Arabidopsis thaliana: one gene and its partner. The protein of the gene in region 1 interacts with the protein of each later gene in a biochemical or structural test. Each region holds a gene or a part of one and is shown in the gene's direction. Other genes may lie near its edges.

Region 1 (6,007 bases):
GTTACTGGATTGCACGCTTGCAAACCTGACAGGTTTTTATCCATCTTATCTCTGTCTTGACCATTAACCTGCAGACCATGGATAGCTTTTCTGTTTTAATGAAAACATCAGACAAGTTATATGTATTTTTTCACAGACCTGCAATTGCTTGGGCAACATGGGATCTTATCGCTATGGTGGACGATGGCAAACATGATGGGACTCCAACACACTCTGTAACCTTTGTGTGGAATGGACATGAGGTGACTGTTGCTTCACATGCTTTTATTACTTTGCTGCAATTCTTTATGGAACTCGTGATCTGTAGGGTTGAGCAACTAGCCTCTGTGTTTTAAGTTACACCTTGGTTTACAGGGGGAGGAGGTATTGTTGGTTGGGGATTTCACAGGAAATTGGAAAGAACCGATAAAAGCAACGCACAAAGGCGGTCCACGTTTTGAAACTGAAGTTAGACTTACACAGGGAAAGTAAGTCATGCTTCTTTTACCTTTCCCGTTGATGCTTTTTTTAAGGTTCAACAGTAAAACGTCTCATAATCTTCCCTGCATGTTAATTGTGACTTTTGAGGGATTGCAAACTGCAAAGAAACTTATGAAAATGCATTTGTGTCATATAACTTGGTGATTATTGACAATGTGGCAGATACTACTACAAGTACATAATCAACGGTGATTGGAGGCATTCAGCAACTTCACCAACGGAAAGAGATGACCGAGGAAACACGAACAATATAATTGTAGTTGGTGATGTTGCTAACGTCAGGCCTACAATTCAACAACCAAGAAAGGTTACTCCTACTATGCAGTAGTCTCTTCTTCATACAATAGGAAAAGCTTGAATAAGATGTTCCACGTTATATTTGCCTGATTGGTTCAAGACATAAACCTGAAGCAACTTGTACAATGTTTTGCAGGATGCAAATATCATAAAGGTGATCGAGAGAGTGTTAACAGAGAGCGAAAGATTTAGGCTGGCGAAAGCAGCTCGGTGTATCGCATTCTCAGTTTGTCCAATAAGACTATGCCCAAAGTCGTAGAAGTTTTGTTTTGGCATAAGTTAAAATGTTACATCCATTCTTCTGTCTCTATCCATTCCTCGAGGTACTTAACCCTAATATCGTTGTGAACAACATTGCCACATTCGCGCACTCTATGACAAGAGAATGTTGACATTATGTTGTGTGTTTGCATGAAAAAATGTCGACATAGTTTCGCCGTTGCCCACTTTACATATAAGTCCCAAAACCAACCCTAATGCGTTACTGGTCTCTGTATTTCTTCTTCATTTTCTCTCTCTCTCTCGCTCTCTCCTAACATGTTGAAGAAAATAGAAACTCTGTTATCTAATGTTGCCTATATGATGATTTATGGCCATGGAAGGTCTGAGAGGAGAGACCCTTCTTCTCTATTTTTTTTATTTCCTCTTCATTTTCATGCTAAGAGTTTTCACTGAGTCTGTTGTTTCGTAGAGTAGAACAGTCCATGATCGATGTTAATCCTTTGCATCTTCTAGATTGTGTATACAATAGCAATCTCTGGTCTAGAGAGAGCCTAGAGAAGTATGGATCTTTCTATATGTATACCACAAACAAATGGCCTAACATCTAAAGTGGGTGGTGATTATTTAAGATGAGAGCCTGAGAGGGTAAGTGAAAGAGGCTGATCCTTGTTTTCATGATAAGGGACCTTATCCTCTAAACCTTTCTGAGACCTTTTATTTTTTTATAAAAAAAAGAATTGAAAGAAGAAAAGAGCACGTAAAAGTTTTGAAATCTTGAGCTAATATTCCTCATCCACAAGAAAAGAAGAAAGTTTGTTATTCACCGCAGCTATCGCTTTCGTTATCCTCGTTCCCACAACCTCACCATGACCATGAGACTCCGTTCTTTTAAACTCCCAAATCTTTCAACCAATCCCATTATTCACTTAAGTATATAGTAGCTTCCATAAGAGTCTTAGTTCTAACTATAAATACACATATCTCACTCTCTCTGATCTCCGCTTCTCTTCGCCAACAAATGTCGACCGCTCCTCTCTCCGGCTTCTTTCTCACTTCACTTTCTCCTTCTCAATCTTCTCTCCAGAAACTCTCTCTTCGTACTTCTTCCACCGTCGCTTGCCTCCCACCCGCCTCTTCTTCTTCCTCATCTTCCTCCTCCTCGTCTTCCCGTTCCGTTCCAACGCTTATCCGTAACGAGCCAGTTTTTGCCGCTCCTGCTCCTATCATTGCCCCTTATTGGGTATACATTTTTACATTCATCACTGTTTCTTAACCTACATTATTTCTTACATAACTTACATTGCTGTTTACGTATAATAGGGGTACATTACATAGATAGCAAACTAAAGTTACAGAATTTTAAAATTTGTAAAGATTTTACGAAATTATTATATAGATTCTGCAATTGCCATTTTAGTGATAGGAACAAAAATCTTCTATAGAAACTAGCTTACGAAACTTCCACAAATCTTGGAAACTGTCACATGTGTTTCACATTTCAGTTTTTTTTTCCCTTGGTATTTCCTTATATTATCCTTACTATTATCATCCGTGTTTGACTTTTGGTCTTTAGCGTGGTACTGAAAGAATTACCCAAATTAACAAGAATCAAACTAAAGTTGCTTAATTAGTGAATCACAAGCAAGGGAAGAGTTCATTTTCAATCCTTATTCTATACAGATCTTCAAACTACTTGCTTCGACATCTAGTGAAGTTAAAAACAAATCACCTCGAAATATTAAAAGCGTTGTCTCATTCCTACCCAAGATCCGACATTTTTGAAATTTTGAGAGTTAGAACGTACGTAGGATCCACGTGATAAAAGAAAAGTTGCTAGTAGTAGCTTCAACAAAAACGATTCATGAAACTGAGACGTGTGTGTATGCACATGTACCATATGAGAGCGTGTGGAGCATAGTGGTGATTAAGTCGCCATCTATATTTATTCATTCAACCTACCGATTTGGTTCCTACTAGCGAAAATAAAATCATAATATAAAAGACTATAAAATTGTACTTTATCGTATAATGAAGTTCTGAACAGGTTGATTGTAGTTTCAACATTTAAAACACGTCATGACTCGCTCTCTACTTAATTACGTTCACGACAATAAAATATACTAGTACTCATTTTCTTCTAATTTTATTTGGTCAACCAACTTGCAGAGTGAAGAGATGGGAACCGAAGCATACGACGAGGCTATTGAAGCTCTCAAGAAGCTTCTCATGTAAGTATATACATCTTTTCTATTCGCATGCATACATTAATACATGATTAGATTAATAAAAGCTAAAACATTATTATAAATTAGTAACGGGATTTTTCAATACTACTTAATTCATAATTTTTGTGATTTAACTATAAATGTATATAAACATATGGCAGCGAGAAGGAAGAGCTAAAGACGGTTGCAGCGGCAAAGGTGGAGCAGATCACAGCGGCTCTTCAGACAGGTACTTCATCCGACAAGAAAGCTTTCGACCCCGTCGAAACCATTAAGCAGGGCTTCATCAAATTCAAGAAGGAGAAATACGAGTAATATATATTTCTATTTCATTTGTTTGTTCTTAATTATGTCACCAACTAAAGTGGTCTAGATTAATTAACTGGTTCATATTTATACTTTTATTTGCAGAACCAACCCTGCTTTGTACGGTGAGCTCGCAAAGGGTCAAAGTCCTAAGGTAAATTAAAAATAAAACTAATACTATGTGTATATCATGGTTGCTTATAAATTAAAAATGAAACATTAAGAAAAAGTAATTAACAAAGGTGTGTGAATGGTGGTGCAGTACATGGTGTTTGCTTGTTCAGACTCACGTGTGTGTCCATCACACGTTCTGGACTTTCAGCCAGGAGATGCCTTCGTGGTCCGTAACATAGCCAACATGGTTCCTCCTTTCGACAAGGTTAATAATTTAACACGTCTGTCTCTCTATAGATATAAACTCTTCTATCTTAAACCTTCTGCCTCTTGAGTCTTGACTTTTGTCTTGAGAAGTCGTGACATTCACTTTCTATTTTCATTTTTGGGTTGCTAAATTGGCAGGTCAAATACGGTGGCGTTGGAGCAGCCATTGAATACGCGGTCTTACACCTTAAGGTGAAAATAAAATAAAATAATTAACACCTTAACCAAAAAAAATTATTTATCAAAGTACATGTAATTAATTTTTGAATGAATTTATTACTGTAGGTGGAGAACATTGTGGTGATAGGACACAGTGCATGTGGTGGGATCAAAGGGCTTATGTCTTTCCCCTTAGATGGAAACAACTCCACGTAAAATATCTCTATATCCATTTTATTAAAATTTAATCAATTTTAATAACAGGATTTATTAAATGAGATTAGTAAAAAATATATACGTTAATTGCAGTGACTTCATAGAGGACTGGGTCAAAATCTGTTTACCAGCCAAGTCAAAGGTTATATCAGAACTTGGAGATTCAGCCTTTGAAGATCAATGTGGCCGATGTGAAAGGGTATACAAACACATGTTAGATCGATGAGCTGATCATATATAACAATATAAATGTATTGATAAATGCAGGAGGCGGTGAATGTTTCACTAGCAAACCTATTGACATATCCATTTGTGAGAGAAGGACTTGTGAAGGGAACACTTGCTTTGAAGGGAGGCTACTATGACTTCGTCAAGGGTGCTTTTGAGCTTTGGGGACTTGAATTTGGCCTCTCCGAAACTAGCTCTGTATGAACCAATCCATCATCATCATCATCATCATGACCATCCATCATCATCATCATTATTATCATCGTATATAATATATATCTACCCCATATGTAATTTGTAATGTGCCTTTGACTGTGATGAGTTATCTCTCCCTCTCTACCAACTTTCTTCATATATATAAAACAAAAAGGAAAAGCAGATGATATAGATCTTTCGTGGTTTAATTATGAACAATTGTCTTTATTATTTGTGTATCAAATCGGTTGTATTTATGGTTTGATTTTATTTTCTATGTTGTTTGGTAGGTTAAAGATGTGGCTACCATACTACATTGGAAGCTGTAGGAAACTCTTTGAAGCCTTACCCGATTTCACATTGTCAATTCAATAACACCAAGTTGTTGTTTACATGCAGATCTTGATGAAACTGGTTTTTGATTTTACAGAATTAAAATCTTGGGGGACAGAAATTTGAATAAAAACTAAAAAAAAAAAAATCAAAAAAAAATCATTGAATCGTAAATAAGGATATCCGGGACGGGCGGATCCGGATAATGAAAAAAATGAACCCGGATATCCGGATCCGGTACCATTAACTACATGAAATAAAAAGGCTTGGAAACCCATTTAGCTAAAAGCCCATATATTTAACAAACCAAATATTTTTGATACCCAAGCCCAATTAATTATCACTTGCCGACACAAACACAAAATCATTCTTTGAAGGTCACAAAATCATTTCGATCTCTTCTCGATATCTCACAAACCCTAGAACTCTGGATCTTTTAATTTCTGGGTTCGATACCCAAATCCTTAAAACTGTCGAATTCTGGTACCCGGAACCCGGATATCCCAGTCTAACAGATCCGGATGCGGATAGTGAAACTGTAGATTTGTAGCTTCGTAGTTTTTTGGTCATATAAAATATAAACATCTGAAATTTGTCTGTGTATGTTGCTGTTTAAATTTGTCCGCCTACACATTATGGGCCTAGGCCCAAGTTTGCAATTCTTTATTGTGGCAATTAAATGGTCAGGTTCGGTTTAGGTTTTACATATCCATCATGAAAAAGCACCGTTGAACGGGCTTAAATCTTTGTCCAAGGACGACGTTTATGAATCCGGTATAAATCGATCGAAGAAGATTAAACCCACAAAACGAAAAGGCTAAAGCTTGAGGAAAAAGTAGCAAAGTGACCAAGAGTCCCATGATTTCATGAAGACATGAACTATATATATCTACTCATTGATTTGATAAATACATTATATTTGATGTTACATATTTTTATTTGAGATTTCTAATATATATTTTCAG
Region 2 (4,538 bases), 3.5 Mb from region 1:
AATAGTTAGTAGGGAATAAGAACTTAAAGTATCAAGAAAAGAAGATGTAATGGCCATCTTCAAGTCTTTATACAACTAGGTTCAAGTGTAAAACCCAAGAAAATCAGTGAATATGAGATAATCAATACCTGCCTCAAGTGAGTGCAGGTAGCTTGAACAGCAGTATCAGACCATGAAGCTCCAATGGATTTAGATACAAGCAGCCGTGCAGCTGACATAGGTAAAAGTCTCAGCGATGCAATCAGAAAACTTGCTGTAGCCGACAGAACAGAAGACCTGCACAACATGATAACGATTTCACAACATTCTAAATAAAGACTGATTGGTTCTTTCCTATCGAGGATTCGTATTGAGAACAAAAGCTCACGCTGCAAGTTTGCCAATTAATGATTGCTTTGTTGATTGTTGGTTCAAAGTCAAAAATGGATATAGGCCAATGCAATATACCACCTGCAAAGCATTCCAGAGAATAATATAAGAAAAATCACATAGCACTGAAAGAAATTGTGATGGAGAAAGTACTACTCTTAGAGGAAGCCATCTATACCTTGTCCGAGAATTTCTTCAATAACTCAAGGGATATATAAGACCCAATAGAATGCCCAACCTACCAAGATCAATTAAGCTTAGAGTTGTAAATTTTCATGAAAATCTGGAAATCCATCCAACTAATGGACATATATATTTTGGTCATAAGAAGCAATATGTCAATGGCTTATACACATGACAGTCTTACCAATATTATTGGAACTTTCACACTCTCCAACTCCTGTCTGATAAAATCAATCTGTATGATAACTAACAGATTAAGATCTTAACTTCACAGGATGAACAATACAAGAACCTAAAGGCTTTCAAATCCAAGAGCAATGAAGAAAAATGATTTTTATTACCTTATGATCAATTTGTTCTTGAAATGAAAATAGCCTCCCAGACTCCCAGTCCTAAAAGTGAAAATAATCAAGTATCATGAAAGCCTATCAAACTAAGATATTATATGAAGAGAACCATCAAAGTTTACACACAGTAAAACCTGAAACCAAAGTTAACGTACCTTGCTCGTGTGAGATATTTGCCCAATAGCTACACAAATAAAACAAACCACTCCACCATTAGAGATCAGAAGAACAAACTCAAACTCAGAAATAAACAGCTTCCATCTTAAGGACTCAAAGAAATCAAACTCGAAAAGTAGAGCAGCCATACCAATTACAGAAGCATTTCCACCAAGAAACTCGTATAAAGATTCCAAAAAGTCCTTGTAAAATGACACAACTCCTGAAAAATTACAAGCCAATGTATGAAGCACACTAGTATATACACGTGCATGCATAAGAGTCTTGAGCATAATAATGAAACCTGGATTTCCCGGAATAAACAATACATGGAATGTGGGATTCTCAGCTTGAATTTCCATCATCTCCGTCATCGAACTTTGATCACAAATACAAAAAACAAAACAAAAAGTGTAACTATAGTCAAAGAAATTAGAAAATTTCGTAAAAGATTAATGTAACAATACCCAGAAACTCTGCACAATCTGGATTTAACATGTCTTTTAGTTTCATTCATCAATTTGTTTTGAGTCTCCATGTCTCCGGTCACGCGATTCAACTTATATCTTCTCTCAGAACTGTCAACACTTGAAAGGAGAAGATCGAGAGAATTAATGAGACAACAGAGAAACCACTAAAAATCAAAACTTTGCAAAATAAGTGAAGAAGCCTTTTAAAGTAAACCAAGTGAAGAGAGCACAACAATGCACCTGAAACAACAGGAGTAGATTAGATACTTTGGAGAACTGAACCACCGATCGGAGGAAGAAAGTAACGGAGAGACGGAGTTACCCAAGGTAGAAGAAGAAGACGCATATTTGCAGCAATAGTAATACGACCTCGTTTTGAGTAACGCGACGTCGTTTTATGAGTTTGGGTGTCGTCAGGCTTATCTCCACCTCATACTTCCACTACAAAGAGAGGTGATTGACAGATAGATAAGAGTGTTTGGTAGCTCAGACTCAGAGAGTCACAAAGTGTGTGTAGCAGCAATGGCGTCTGTTGCTTCTTCAACTACTCTCATCTCTTCTCCCTCTTCTAGGGTTTTTCCAGCAAAGTCTTCACTTTCCTCTCCATCTGTTTCTTTCCTTCGAACCCTTTCTTCTCCTTCCGCATCTGCTTCTCTCCGCTCCGGATTTGCTCGACGCTCTTCCCTCAGCTCCACTTCTCGTCGGAGCTTTGCTGTCAAAGCCCAGGCCGTAAGTTTATCTAAATGTCGATACTTTTCTTATTCGATGTCATTGAAATCTGAATTCATTAGCCTGTTATAGATTTCACTCTCTTCCTACTTGTTAGCCCTATAGGTTTTGGGGAAATAGTTAACGATTTATAGGTTATGCGACCGTGTTTCTGCAGATTACTCGAAAAGTTCAGAAATTTGAGTGACATTTTCGTTTAGGGTTGTTAATTTCTCTGGTGAAGTGAAATTGAGTGACATATGAGCTATACTCATTGACTGATTAGTATGTTCGGATGAGGTCTATGTAGTTTTGGTATAGTACCATGGTTATCTGATTGTCAATTTGACTGATCTTTCTCCTTAGATTTGATGTGTTAACGAGTTTTAATTTGGTGATTATAGGATGATCTTCCACTGGTTGGAAACAAGGCGCCTGATTTTGAGGCAGAGGCTGTGTTTGATCAAGAGTTCATCAAGGTACTTACAGCAGTTATCAATCACAGTTGCTGCTTCTAGTTAATCTGAGATTAAGTTTAGTTTTGAAGCTGAATGAGTAGTCTTTAGTGTTTTTTATTTAGTGAGTATATGTCTTATTGTGATTGGAAACTAATTGGTAACTGATGAATGTATGGTTTCAGGTTAAGCTCTCTGATTACATTGGAAAGAAGTATGTGATTCTCTTTTTCTACCCATTGGACTTTACTTTCGTCTGCCCAACAGGTTAGCATTGCTCGAGAAGTATATCAAAATTGAATATCCAAGGTTCCCTCATCCTTGAGTCCTAATCTTTCTCATTTTTTCCTTATGTCTTTTAGAGATTACTGCCTTCAGTGACCGGCATTCAGAATTTGAGAAGTTGAACACCGAAGTATTAGGTGTTTCTGTCGATAGTGTGGTAAGTATCACTATACATTTACTATGTTCTCATTTTACTCAGTTCCTCATCCTTGGTTGACATCACCATGTTCTTATCTGTTTGCAAATTTTTGATTCATTCTTATTTCTGTGTGTCCTCGTAGTTCTCTCACCTTGCATGGGTCCAAACAGACAGGAAATCTGGAGGGCTTGGTGATCTGAACTATCCCCTTATTTCAGATGTCACTAAATCAATCTCAAAGTCGTTCGGAGTGCTCATCCATGATCAGGTAATTGTTAGCCTTTAAATCTTGGCTACCTTCCTTTAAACTTTCGAAGTGTTTGGGATAAATGAAAACAAGAACTTTGTTTGTGTAAGAACAGGGAATAGCACTGAGAGGACTTTTCATAATCGACAAGGAAGGAGTGATCCAACATTCCACCATCAACAATCTTGGTATTGGCCGAAGCGTTGATGAGACAATGAGAACCCTCCAGGTAAAGATACAAATAAATACACACAACTCCAAAAACCGCTCTTTCCTTTCACTCGATTTCCGGTATGCTTAATACGTTTTCAATGTTGCAGGCATTACAGTACATCCAGGAAAACCCGGATGAAGTCTGCCCAGCAGGATGGAAGCCGGGTGAGAAGTCAATGAAACCCGACCCAAAACTCAGCAAAGAGTACTTCTCAGCTATTTAGAAACTCTACTATGATAGCAAAAAGGTACAATCTTTGTTATATGTGAGCAGAGTTTTTTTTCTTGTACGCTAAAACAATCCTTTGTTTGATTCTCACTTTGTCCCCAAAATTATAATAAAAAACTTTTTCCGTTAATGGAAGTCTTATTGTGTTACGCCTACAAATTCATATTCAGTTGATCACTTACCTAAGCATGTACACTGTACATATTAATGGTAAAAATCAAGACCATTTTGTGATCTTCTTTGATAGCACAGAGAAGCCATTGTTCTACCATATACGCTAGTCATATTAAAGGACCTGTAAAAAAACCAAAGGACAGAAATTATAAAACTATCATTTCTCTTTCTTTAATGCATCTATATGATAATTATGATCCTTAAAAAGCTGATGCTACCTGTAAAAAAGTTGCTCATGTGTCCCCCTGCCAACAAATTCCAACATCATTAATCATCATCAACCCAACCTCCTCCGTCAACTGATGACCGGTAAACGCCGGTCAACTCTCCTGCTTTAACTACACTACGTCCCGGTCATTATTTTTTCACACTCTCTCTCAAACGATGCATGCCCTCACCAACTCCGGCGCCGTACTTCTCGCCGTGTTACTCTTCTTTCTGCTCATCCTTTTCGCCGAGCTCTCTTACATCTTTTGTTGCCGCACCGGATCTTTACCGTCTCCGGCAAGTAAAGAGGTTCTTTTCCAATTCTTGATGTGTTGCAAGAAGAATCACCACCACTC

Evidence for each region.
Region 2: the proteins of CA1 (region 1) and AT3G11630 form a complex in vitro, tested with the Arabidopsis thaliana proteins (one study listed by BioGRID).

Annotation. Positions count from the first base shown.
Region 1 is NC_003074.8:193,884-199,890, reverse strand, and holds CA1 (carbonic anhydrase 1), read left to right. Parts: upstream 1-1,730; 5' UTR 1,731-2,017; coding exon 2,018-2,239; intron 2,240-2,326; exon of another isoform or gene 2,327-3,043; intron 3,044-3,165; coding exon 3,166-3,227; intron 3,228-3,385; coding exon 3,386-3,535; intron 3,536-3,635; coding exon 3,636-3,684; intron 3,685-3,792; coding exon 3,793-3,909; intron 3,910-4,049; coding exon 4,050-4,103; intron 4,104-4,196; coding exon 4,197-4,282; intron 4,283-4,379; coding exon 4,380-4,485; intron 4,486-4,553; coding exon 4,554-4,712; coding exon of another isoform or gene 4,713-4,718; exon of another isoform or gene 4,719-4,999; coding exon 5,000-5,038; 3' UTR 5,039-5,465; downstream 5,466-6,007. Other genes in the region: LSF1 (uncharacterized protein), read left to right, coding at 1-32, 137-242, 355-467, 643-787, 914-1,036. UniProt on the Arabidopsis thaliana protein: Reversible hydration of carbon dioxide. Required for photosynthesis in cotyledons. Binds salicylic acid.
Region 2 is NC_003074.8:3,670,142-3,674,679, forward strand, and holds AT3G11630 (Thioredoxin superfamily protein), read left to right. Parts: upstream 1-1,894; 5' UTR 1,895-2,047; coding exon 2,048-2,254; intron 2,255-2,637; coding exon 2,638-2,712; intron 2,713-2,873; coding exon 2,874-2,955; intron 2,956-3,050; coding exon 3,051-3,130; intron 3,131-3,254; coding exon 3,255-3,380; intron 3,381-3,474; coding exon 3,475-3,588; intron 3,589-3,679; coding exon 3,680-3,796; 3' UTR 3,797-4,018; downstream 4,019-4,538. Other genes in the region: AT3G11620 (alpha/beta-Hydrolases superfamily protein), read right to left, coding at 129-276, 368-450, 548-607, 737-787, 894-944, 1,055-1,083, 1,207-1,278, 1,360-1,433 and 1 more; AT3G11640 (uncharacterized protein), read left to right, coding at 4,360-4,538. UniProt on the Arabidopsis thaliana protein: Thiol-specific peroxidase that catalyzes the reduction of hydrogen peroxide and organic hydroperoxides to water and alcohols, respectively. Plays a role in cell protection against oxidative stress by detoxifying peroxides.